Linked DNA regions of Macaca fascicularis. The protein of the gene in region 3 interacts with the protein of the main gene of each other region in a pairwise test. Links are inferred from orthologs where the notes say so. Each region holds a gene or a part of one and is shown on either strand. Other genes may lie near its edges. The genes, in order: FOSL2, DBP and DDIT3.

Region 1 (3,742 bases), on a different chromosome or scaffold from region 3:
ATTTAAAACTCATCACCTTGGTGCTCAATACGAACGGTGCATTGACTGCACCCTCAATGAACAGACCAGGCTGTCTCTACTGCGGGTGCTTATAGGAGCACCATGGGAGGCAGAGGGAAGGCAGAAAAGCCATTTTGGGGACTCATCAGGTATAGGGAATCACTTTGGAACAAGGGATCCCTCATCAGATCCAAAAGAGAGCCATGTTCCATAAGACTTTCCAGCTGAATCTACCCCTCCCTGGAAGCCCACCCCAGCCCCTTCTAGAGGCCAAGGCCACCGCCTTATGGAGCATCCCTTGCTGCAGCCAACTGTGCTAGACTCCACAGATGCTGACCACCGTGGGCTGCATGTTGTATTGGGCCTGCGTTAACCCAGCTCTCTCTTGAGACAGAGCGGGTGGGGAGCCGCAGCAGAGGGCAGGCACGCCATCAGCACCCCCCCCGCCCCGCAACAACAGTACCTTCCTGGTATTTATAAACACAGAGATCACACGCACAATCCCTCCACCGCAAACCAGTCCGGCTGCTTTAGAAACAAGTTGTTTTCTGCTTCCAGAACCACCCAGGAGCCTGTGTGATGTCTCTTCCCCCACCGACCCCCTGTTCTCTCTGCCGGCCTCCTTGCTCCAGGTACCCCCAGACCCTCACGGTGCTCCTTCGTTCCTGCGGGGCAGTGCAGCCTCCTGTCCTCGACCCTTACAGAAGACGGGCGGGCAGGCGGGCAGGCACTGGGCACACAGGCGGCATGAGCCAATCAAGGCTGGCTTCTTCCTTCCTGACCTTCGCACCTGATTCCCAGAGCGGCAGCCCTCGCCCTCGCTCCAGATTACTTGAAGGAGTCCAACCATGTTTCTGGATCCCCAACCCCTTTCAGAAAGGAGCTAAGACTGATGGAGAACGAGGAGGGGAGAGAGAGAGAGCTTTCCTGAAAGAATAGGGTCCCAGGATGTCGAAAGGTGCCAGTGGGTGCAAAGATTTTCTTGTCTGTCCACCATCCAGAAAGAAGACTCGGGGCGGGGGGCGAGGAGGGGCGGGCACTGGGGAGGGGGAGTAGTTCATGGGAGGAGGTAACAGGCTCTTCCTGGTAGGGGGCCTACAATTCCAGGAGTTTATCTGGGTAAAATATAATGTGGGAGGAAAAGGGCATGTTGTCTTTTCAAGCCCACTCCCCAATCCCCTGATGTAAAAGGGGGTGGTGGGGGAGGAGAGGACGAAAATCCAGAACTTAACAACGGTGGCCCGTAGGTATTTTTTCGCTAAGAAAAGGAAAAGAAAGCAAAAGAGGCAGTGGCGGCGAGAGGAGGGCAGGGGTCCGCCCGCGCCGCCAGGTGCACCGGGGCCCGCACCTACCTGCTGGCCGCCGCCGCCGCTGGAGTACGACTCGGCGTGCGCAGGAGAGCCGCTGCTGCCCCGGGACGAGGTGTCAAAGTTCCCGGGATAATCCTGGTACATGATCCGCGGTAGGGGCCGGAGGGGAAACAGGGTGTTTTTCTTCCCCCGCCCTCGCCGCGGCCGCGCACCGGCTGCTGCGCGCTCGTTCGTCCGCCGGCCGCGCCGCGGGCTCTGGGTTTCGCTCCTGGGTTTCTCCCCAACCGCGGCGGGCGAGGACAAGGAGGCGGCGACACCTCGGGAACAGCGTCCCCCGAGCGCCTCTTACGGCACTTCTTTCCGGCTCTGAGAACGCCGCGGGACCAGTTGTCCACCCGGTCCCTCCCTCTAAAAAGTCGGCGCGTCTCTCGGTCCCTCCCCTGCGCGCGCCCTCCCGCCCCCGCGCGCAGCCGGAGCTCAGCCGGGACCCACGGCCCAATCAAAAATTGGAAATTAAAAAGACTAGGAGCCCAGAGAGCCTGGCCTGCCAGCCCCCGGGACCCTCCGATTTCAGACAGGGCCAAAAAGGCGGAAAGAAAAGCTGTCCGCTGGGAGAAACTTCTGTTTCTTCCTTTCAGAAAAGGAGCCGGAGAATAAACTTCCCGTGGCCGACTCGCCGCCGGAGTTTCGGGGCGGCTCGGATACTTGACTGGGAGAAGGCGGCGTGCGCCCGTCCCGCGGCCCCGAGCGCGCCAGGGGGACAGCGGCTCGTGGGGCTCAAGCTGAGCTGGCGCTGAGAGGGACGCGGCCCTGCTCCCCGCTCCGGCGCCCGGACCTGCACCCCTTCCCCGGCGCCCGCTCCCGGACGGGCCCGCCTCGCCCGACCGCGCCTCTCCCTCTCCCTCTTTCTGTCCCCGCCGAGCGCCGCTCGTTCGCTCGCTCGCTGGTTCGCTCGAAGCCCTAGCGCTCTGCCCGAGATGAGTCACTACAATGGCACGAGTTCAACTCACACTCTTTATTCTCCAGCCCTGTACCATGTGGATTCACTCACGTCAACCCCAGACTCCACCTTGCAGGGAGGAGCGCACGAGGAGGCGGGGGGAGGAGGCCGCGGAGGAGGAAGAGGCGCAGGAGGGGAGGAGGCGGGCGCAGCTCTTCCCTCCCAGCCCCGGCTCCCGGCCGCGCTGACGCCAGCCGCGCACCCCGCGCGAGGAAGCCAGGCGGTGGCCCTGGCGGGAGCGGGCGGCCCGCACGGTTGGGGGGCGCCGAGGCAGCCCCGGCCCTCCCCCGCCCCCCGCTCACCCCCCGGGCCCAGCGCCCTTGGTCTGTTCCATTGGCGCACGTTGCCAAAGATGGTCATTTGCGTTAGAGGACGCGAGTGCGGGTTTCCTCGCTTTCGGGTGACGTGGAGGGAGAGGGATTCCCTCGCCCGCTCCCGAGTGCGCTGTGGCCTCTCCCCCGCCCCGGGAAGGGGCGCGGGGCGGGGCCCCGAGAGCGGCCGCGCGGTCTCGACTCCGGATTTTAGAAAATAATCACAGCCCTGACGGGGAGACGGGCGGTTCGGTGCGGCGCCACCGGGAGGCCGGGAGCTGGGCGCGCAGAGCCGCTCGCAGGGAGGGCGCGGCCGCGCGCGGTCGTAGGCGCCCTTCGCGGCGCCGCCGAGTGCAGCGGGCGCCCGGGGCGCGCAGGGTGCCCGCGCCGCCCTGCGGCCGGGTCTTGGCGGGGCGCGGCGCCGGGCGGGGCTGGCCTGCCTATTTTTCCCTCCGTGGCGGGCTGCCTACCGCTTCCCTTTTTGATTTTTGTTTTTCATGTTTTCGGTCCTACAGTTAATTCGTTAGGAGTAGCCTTGAAGATGAAATTAACCGGGCAAGATATTCCGGCTGCCCTGTACGCCGAGCAATTAGGACGCATCTAATAAGAGTAATCGGGCGTTCATAAGCAAACTCCCGACTGTTACGAATTAAAAAAAAAAAAAAAAAAAAAGTAGCCAGCGAGAGGGTGTGCCCCAACGTTGTCGTCTTCAGCTGTTTTGGAGCGAAGTTCAGGGCGCGGGTAGCCGGACACTTGGGTCCTCCTCCCTCACTGGGCGGGGCTGGGAGGGGCGCGGCGCAGGGTACAGAGCACAGACCTTGGAGCAGGAACGCCCGGCTACGCTATTTACGAGCTGTGAGATCTTAGACCAATTCCTTAACCTCTCTGGGCCTCAGTTTCCTCCTATAAAGGGAAGGAGTTTGGAGCCATGACCTTAGGCCCTTCTCTGCTCTGGAGCTCCAGTCCTTCTGCTGAGATGATGGTGTGTGAATGGAGAAGTACTGTAGCGGAATTCAGGGAACTTAGGTTCTGGCCCAGGGTCTGTTAGCCTCAGTTTACCCAATTCTTAAGTAGCACCAGCCGTCTGTACCCCACAGGGTCCTTATGAGGCCCCAAAGTTA
Region 2 (3,742 bases), on a different chromosome or scaffold from region 3:
GAAACAAGATCCCTAACGTCTTCCCTTCTGAAGAACTCTGGGACCCGGGGCTGCAGCACGCCCCACTGGGGGACCCAAGAACTGGGCTGCCAGTCTCTTATGTCCTGGGTAAACAGAATTCTGCGCCCCTCCTTTGCTCCTGTAAAGGACCTAGGGGCTCCAGTTCTATCCCAGTTCCATCGATTATGGGCCCAGATTCTGGGGTCAGTCCACTGCCCAGTAAATAACTCTGGTGTTCCGGACTTCCAGTTCTGGCTTCACGAGTATCCACATCCTTTGTCCCCACGTCCCACAGAAAAACCCACAAAATCTCATTGGGCAGGCTTCCTGGAATTTAGGGTTCCAAGTCTCTCCTCCCCTATGGAGCCAGAAGACCAAGTTCCTGACCCATTAAGAGACACAGAATCTGGCCCCCTCCCACGACACCGCTCGACAACTGGACACAAAATGCGGGGCGGCAGCCGGGTCCCACGGTCCCAGCCCCCTGCGTCGCACAGCCCCGCCCCCTGAGTCCAAGCCCCGCCTCGTCAGGACCCGCCCCGCCCCCTTCGCCGCACCTGCGCGGTGGCCGCTGGCGGCCCCGAGGGCAGCCCGGGCGGGGGCGTGCCCAGGAGAGGAGCGGGGGGAAGCGGAGCCGCACGAGCCCGGCCCTGGGGAGGGTGCGGGCGTCCGCGCGGGCGACGGCTCCGGCGATGGGCCACCGGGGGGCGGCGGGCTGGGCGGGAGCCCGTGCTCCAGCAGGAAGGCGTCCAGGTCCACGTACTCCACATCGCCGAACGGCAGCGTGCGCTCCCAAAGCAGTGGCGCCAACAGACCCGGGGCGGAAACTGGCCCCGGGCGCCCCCGCGGGGACCCGCCGCCCACCACCGCCCCAGCCGGGGCATCCGCCGGGCCCGCAGTCTCCAGGCCTGGCCCAGGGGTTGTGGCTGCGGGCAGGGCCGCCTTGCGCTCCTTTTCCTTCAGGAGACCTGCGGGCCGGGAAAGACGGGTTGGGATGGCGGGGGGGTGGAGATAGAGATGGGAGAAGAGACCCCGAGTCCGAGAGGCACAGGGCAGAGATCCAGAGAAAGAGGGGATGGGGAGTCGGAGAGGAGAGACGGGAAATGAAGGGACGGAGACGCAGAGTGGGAGAGAGACCCAGAAAGAACGGAGACGGGGGTGGCAGAGACAGGTGGACAGATTCACAGAGATGGGGACAGAATGCCGGGAAGGGATTGAGACACAGAAAGACAGCGACCCAGAGAAAGAGGGACGGAAGTTCAGGAATAGGGGGGCAGGGAGAGGGTAGGTGGAGGGTTGGGCAGGTGAGAGAAAAAAATGACAGCTCTGTAATTCCGCTGTAATTACCCAACCCCATCCCCTGCGCGCTGTACCCCCTTCCCCCTCCCCCACCATCTGTAAGGGACAGGAAGGGGCTCTATTCCTGGGGCACATTCCTCATCCCTAGACTCCATGTGACCCCATGACGCCCCGCCCAAGCCCGTGTCACCACCGTGTGAGCACCCGACACACCCCCTCCCTGGGACCCCAGGGGTCCAGACTCCCGGACCAAAGGAAGAGGAGGCTGGGGCCTACACTCCTGTGAACCGAGGGAGGAAGACTTTGGGGACCTTAGGGTGGACGGGCTTCAGAGCTGCCGCTTTTGGGTCCTGGGCGCTGAGGGATCTAGGGGCCTAAACACCCGAATAATTGAGTAGATTAAGGTTGGGAAGATGGACTCCCCCCACACAGGAGGTGTCTATGGGCCCCCACCCCCCAACCAACGGCATTTGAGGCCTTAAGGGGGTGGGGTGTCCGAACTGGGTGAGATGGGGGTTAGAACTCACAGCTGGCCGGCTCTTTGGGCTTGCTGGTCCCCTGCAGAAGGCTCCGCAGCCCAAGCAGCGCTCCCCCGCCAGGGGGTGTCCCGACCGGGCCGCCCAGCAGCAGAGGGGCCGGGGTCCTGTCGCTCACAGGCCGCGCCATCGCCTGGCACCTGCCCCCAGGCTCACGGGTTCATGGAGAGGCGAAGGGCTGGCCTGCCAGTCACCGGCACACTCCAGTGGTTTGGACGACTGTCTGCCCAGGGGCGGGCGAGTGTAGCCTGCAACCCTCCAGTATCCAGAACGCTGCAAATCCTAGGAGCGACGGGAATTTGAGGTCCTCGGTGCAGAAACGTGCAACTCAAAAGGGTCCCGGGAGATCATGCAGTCTGGGCGAGGGGGTGTCCAAATCAAGCGGCCGGCCCTTTGCAACCGAGGGTGAGAGGGGACCCAAGGCGCCCCTTCTACAAGGTGGGCGAGCCTGGCTCTTGCAAAATCTGCAGCTCTCGCAACGGAAGGCGCTTTGCAATCTGCACCGAGAGGTGTGCGCGGAGGGGCGGAGGAGGGGGCAGGAGGAGGCGGCCGCCTTGAGGCGTGGCCAAAGCAAACTTCTTTCGCGGAAAAAAAATCCAAACCAAAACACCCGACGCCACAGCGCGCGCCCCTCCTCCGGGTCCCCGCCCGGCGCGTCCAGCCCCGCCCGCCTCTGTGGGCATGCACCCCAGCCGCGTGCCTCCCTCCGGCTGCAAACACAGGCCAATCGTCTCCGACCCCTTGAGACGCACAGCCAATGGGGCCTCTGGATACGCCAGGGCCCAGGAGGGCGCGTGAGGGGCTCAGCGCGTGAAGTTGCCTTGCCTTTCGGTGGGAGGCGGGACACTGACCTACATTTGCCCAATGGGAGGCGGTACTGGGGGCGGGACCGTGACCCAGTTTGGGCCAATGAAGCAGGCGGGAGGGGGAAGCACATGGCTCTGCTCGTGCTGCCTAGTGGTAAGGGGTGTGATGGGGGAAGAGGGGCGCCGCTTAAAGGGGCCGCGGTCCTAATGATGGTTTTGAGAAGCAGGAAGCCAAAATGCCGAGTAGCGGGGGCTTAAAAAGAGGAAGATTGGTTTCCGGAAGAAGTCTGTTCTTTAATACCCAAATGTTTCCCCACCGCGCCTAGAATCAGACCACTGAGAAACAAGAAGTGTTCTGTCCCTTTAATAGCTTTGTTTTAGGAGTAACTCCCCTAGCCGTGTGGGGAGGCTTAGGACGGGCGGGTGCAATACTCGAAGGGGAGTCTCAGCGACCATGGGGGGCACCATCCACTGTAAGACAGAGAACAACGGCAGGCGTCAGTTTAGGATGGAAGGGGCAGGGGGCGTGCAGGGGGCGTGGGCTGGGCCGCGCAGGGCTCTACCATCGGAAGTCTGTGAGCGGGGAACCAGAATGTACCAGGTCGAGAAGCACTGGGCTGAACCACAAGAAGCCAACAGGAGGGGGGAATCGGGATGTCCAGATTCAGCATTAGGCTGAACTACCTGAAGGTCTTCATGGGGGGTGTGGACTGTACCATGTTGCGAAGCCGGGGGGTGTGAGATCCCTGGGCTGAACCACAGGGAGGCAGTTGTAGATTCTCAGTAAGGGGGAAAGGAGCATCAGATTGTGGAACAGCGTAGAGTAGTACGACTTGGAAAGGGAGAGAGGATCCAAATTGTACCATTTTGGAAATTCACAGTAATAGGAAGCACAGAACAGTAGGTAATCGCACCATAGGAAGGCAGGGGTCAAGGGTTATAGACCAAGTTACAAAGCAGTGAAGAGGAAAGACAAATCGTGCGACAGCAATGACCTAGGGCTGGAAGGTGGACTGTGCCACGTTGATATGTAGGGAGAGAGAGAAAAAGAGACAGCTCAGGAGGCTACACCATACAGACGCAGGAAGGGGGATGGGACTG
Region 3 (3,742 bases):
CGTCCTTACTTCTGGTCTTGTGGGGTATGCATACTTGGTCCCTGTAGCCATTTCCAAGGGCAGAAGAGGGCCTGACTTTATTTTTAGTTGCTGACATTTGTAGTCCTGGTTACATAATAGCAAAGTTCTGGCCAACTCAGCTTTCTCTAAATTCAAGGCAGGCCTTAAACCTGCCAGGGTAAAGACTAAACTATAGGGAAGGGAACAAATCGTAGCATTTTCCTAACTCCATTCCCACACTGACATCCTGTAGCATTTTCCTAACTCCATTCCCACACTGACATCCTCCAAATGTGTATTTCCAGTCTGGACCTCTTCCAGAACTTCCGACTCTGCTGTCTACTGCCTACTTGCCATTTCTTTTTCAATGTCTAATAGGTACCTAAGACTATGTGCAAACTTGTTGATTTTCCCCTTCCAAGGTCATCCCCATCTCAGATGACAACTCTAGTTGCTTAAGCTAAAAACCTTGGTATCATCCTTCATTCCTCTCACACCCTGCAATCCAAAGTACTAGCAAATTTTAACTTTTTTTTTTTTTTTTTTTGAGACGGGTCTCCCTCTTTTTGCCCAGGCTAGAGGGCAGTGGCACAATCTCCGCTCTGCAACCTTTGCCTCCTGGGTTCAAGCGATTCTCCTGCCTCAGCCTCCTGAGTAGCTGGGATTACAGGCATGCACTACCATGCCTGGCTGATTTTTGTATTTTTAGTAAAGATGGGGTTTCACGTTGGCCAGGCTGGTCTTGAACTCCTGACTTCGTGTGATCCACTCCTCTGGTCTCCTAAAGTGCTGGGATTACAGGCATGAGCCACCATGCCCGGCCCTTAACTCATTCTTTAAAAATGAGTTTTTAAAACTTTGCTTAGAAGAATTTAAACACCTCTAATTCCATTCTTTCCAATCTAGATCAATTCACCACCATCTCTCAATTACTGCAGAAACTTCCTGATTGCAGAAGGTCTTCCCATTTCTTCTCTTGCCACCCCTCCGTAAGTCTATTCACCATACAGCAGCCTGAGTGAACCTTTTAAAACAGGTCATTCCTCTGCTCAAAACTCTCCAGTGACTTCCTATGTCATGTCAGGGAAGTCATTGGAGGGTTTTGAGAGGAGGAATTACCTAAGGTAATTCCTGACCACCTGATGTAACACAGTAACCTCCATCCTGAACATTCTCCATTCCTTTCTCTGCTTTAGCTTTCTCCATGGCACTTATATTTTGTTTACTGTAGGCCTCCCACTGAGATGATTTTTTCCTCTTGCTCACGGATGTTCCCTGAGCCCCAAACTGTTTGGCACACAGTAGGTCCTCATTAAGTATTTGTTAAGAATGAATGAATTCTCCCCAATCTCTCTTATAGGGAAGGGGCAGACGCAGAGTGGCAGCTGCCGATCCCTAGGGACTGGAGATGCAATATTGCCCGAAATATTTCTCTGCAGGGCTGTCTTCCCTGGGGAACCCTCCCTTGCCTTCCAGTGCGTGGGACTTGGCTTTCATCAGCAGTGGAGCCTCAGGTCAGAAGGCTGCAGAGCCAAACGGGGCTGGCCTGATGCAATGGTTACACAGAGATTAGCTGGGAGACAGGACCGGGTTAAAGAGGCAGGGACTAATCCCGAGGGAAGGACGATACCCTGGGGAGACCCCAAATGGCCTCCTACACTTAAGAGATCCAGGCTGCTCTCTTGTGCGGGAGGCCCAGAGACCTCTACGGCAAAGGGAAAACACACCGCTCCCTGTCCATCGGCACCCCTCCCAAAGGCTTGTGTCAAGGTTCCCCTTTCAGCCCTGCAGGGTCCAGTAGCCCCAGCTACCGAGGTGGCCATGCTGACACCAGAGACGCTGAGACTGAGACAGGATTGGGGGTAGGGTAGGGAGAAGGCCGATGGTGGCGAACGGGCGGAAACGGTTTGAGCGATGGTAACTCAGTCTTAGAGCGGGGGTGTGTCCTGCTGCCTCCCCGCGGACAGGCCTAACGAGGTGGCCTGAAGTTGGCTACGGGAGAGAATGAATTTCCCTAGGGCAGCCGAGGTCCCTTTGCCCAGCAGCACAGAGCAGGGCCCATGCTCCGGCTCCGGGCAGGGGTGGAGAGACGCTGTCGTCCGAAGCAATGGGGGTTTGTAAGCACCACCCCAGAATAAGGGACTCTCCCCATTCCTCTCTCGGACGGTCCCTGACTTCACTGTGGAGGCGTGAGGCCAATCCTAAAGAGCGGATGCCCCAACTCTGAGGAGACGGGAGGGCAAAGGGCAGATGGGAGTCAGTACTCGCCTCTCTCCTCAGGTTCCAGCTCTGATTTTGGCTCTGTCGCTGCCACCCGCTCATCTTCAACATGATACGCTCAGTGCCTTAGACTTAAGCCTCTGACCTCGGGAGCGCCTAGCTGTAATCTTTTACCATGGCCTTGCCCTCCTCTCAGGGGCGGGACCCCAAAACCTACCAATCAGAAAGTGGCACGCCGGCATTGGCCCCGCCTCGTCCCTCGTATCCGCCACTCAGGAGCTCCGCAGAACCGCCCCCGTCGCTCCCTCTCGCTAGGGGGTCGACGTAGTGTCGGACCCGGAAGTGGCTTTGGGTCACGAGGCTTCACGGAGGCGGTGGGTGAGTCATGCGCGCGCGCGGAGGGGAGTGTAGCGGGGGGAGGGGAGGAAAGGGGGGCGGGGATGATGCAATGTTTGGCAACTGGTGTCTGCACGCGCACGCGCAGGGGACTACGAGGGTGGTGGGAGGTGCAGAGGGTGGGGGAAAGGAGAGAGGGCGGGGCGCCAGCTCCCGGCGCCCAACGGCCCCAACGGCTATCAGCGTTGGCCGTCCGTAGTCGGTCGTGTGGAGCCTCTTTGCCGCTTGTCTCCCCCAGAAGCTGCTGTTCCGCCCACCGAGCTTTAGCCGGCGTTTTACCTCCACTATAAGGGACTCCCATTTTCCTTGGCCCCTCCCAGCTAATGGTCATATAGGCCTTTTGAACTTTTCCTTTGAAAGTTGGTATCCATCCACTGGGATTGTCGACATCTCGAGAGTCTTAGAGAGGTCTCCGGGCTCGGTGACTCATGCCTATAATCCCAGCACTTTGGGAGGCTGAGGAGAGCGGATCACTTCAGGTCAGGAGTTCCAGATCAGCCTGACCAACATGGTGAAACCCCGTCTCTACTAAAAATACAAAAATTAGCCGGGTGTGGTGATGCGCGCCTGTAATCCCAGCTACTCTGGAGGCTGAGGCAGGAGAATCGCTTGAACCCTGGTGGCGTATGTTGCAGTGACCGAGATCGCGCCACTGCACTCCAGCCTGGGTGACAGAGCGAGACTACGTTTCACCGAAAACGAAAAACAAATAAAAAAAACCGGGGTCGTCTAGCCCCGTAAATCTCCCAAAAGGGGCCGAGGTACTGGAATCCCTTGGTAGTCATTTTCCGCTTCTCTCACAACAGCGCCCTTGACTTTTACCTTGGAGTTGCTAAGCCCTCAGCCTGCCAGAAGTCATGTATTTTACCCAGTGGACCCAATTCTGTTTGGCCACCTATTTTCCCCCACTATACTCTTACGGCTTTCTCCAATACCAAGACCCTCTCTTGCTGTACCAGACAGCAAGTCCTGTGACTCCCTGCTGTGAGGAGCGCGGCACAGGCCTGCCTCCTAGGTGTTCGGGTCGAGATTTACAGCGGAGTCTCATCCTGGGACGTGTAAGTGCACTTCAGCGCAGGACCGCCGTGGACTGGGGAGACCGGGGCCGCGATTTTAGCCTCAACTC

The links.
Region 1: the proteins of DDIT3 (region 3) and FOSL2 interact in binary tests that used the Homo sapiens proteins (3 or more experiments, as listed by UniProt). The two-hybrid records come from large-scale screens. The link is inferred for Macaca fascicularis from reciprocal best matches to the Homo sapiens genes DDIT3 and FOSL2.
Region 2: the proteins of DDIT3 (region 3) and DBP interact in binary tests that used the Homo sapiens proteins (3 or more experiments, as listed by UniProt). The link is inferred for Macaca fascicularis from reciprocal best matches to the Homo sapiens genes DDIT3 and DBP.

The regions. Positions count from the first base shown.
Region 1 is NC_088387.1:93,833,057-93,836,798, forward strand, and holds the start of FOSL2 (fos-related antigen 2), read right to left. Parts: upstream 2,300-3,742; 5' UTR 1,455-2,299; coding exon 1,353-1,454; intron 710-1,352; exon of another isoform or gene 1-709.
Region 2 is NC_088393.1:56,630,125-56,633,866, forward strand, and holds the start of DBP (D site-binding protein), read right to left. Parts: upstream 2,337-3,742; 5' UTR 1,966-2,336; coding exon 1,827-1,965; intron 969-1,826; coding exon 558-968; exon of another isoform or gene 1-557. Other genes in the region: CA11 (carbonic anhydrase-related protein 11), read right to left, coding at 3,005-3,112, 3,358-3,473. UniProt on the Homo sapiens protein: This transcriptional activator recognizes and binds to the sequence 5'-RTTAYGTAAY-3' found in the promoter of genes such as albumin, CYP2A4 and CYP2A5. It is not essential for circadian rhythm generation, but modulates important clock output genes.
Region 3 is NC_088385.1:64,328,185-64,331,926, forward strand, and holds the start of DDIT3 (DNA damage-inducible transcript 3 protein), read right to left. Parts: upstream 2,553-3,742; 5' UTR 2,438-2,552; intron 2,367-2,437; exon of another isoform or gene 2,332-2,366; coding exon of another isoform or gene 2,269-2,331; intron 1-2,268. Other genes in the region: DDIT3 upstream open reading frame protein, read right to left, coding at 2,269-2,331. UniProt on the Homo sapiens protein: Multifunctional transcription factor in endoplasmic reticulum (ER) stress response. Plays an essential role in the response to a wide variety of cell stresses and induces cell cycle arrest and apoptosis in response to ER stress.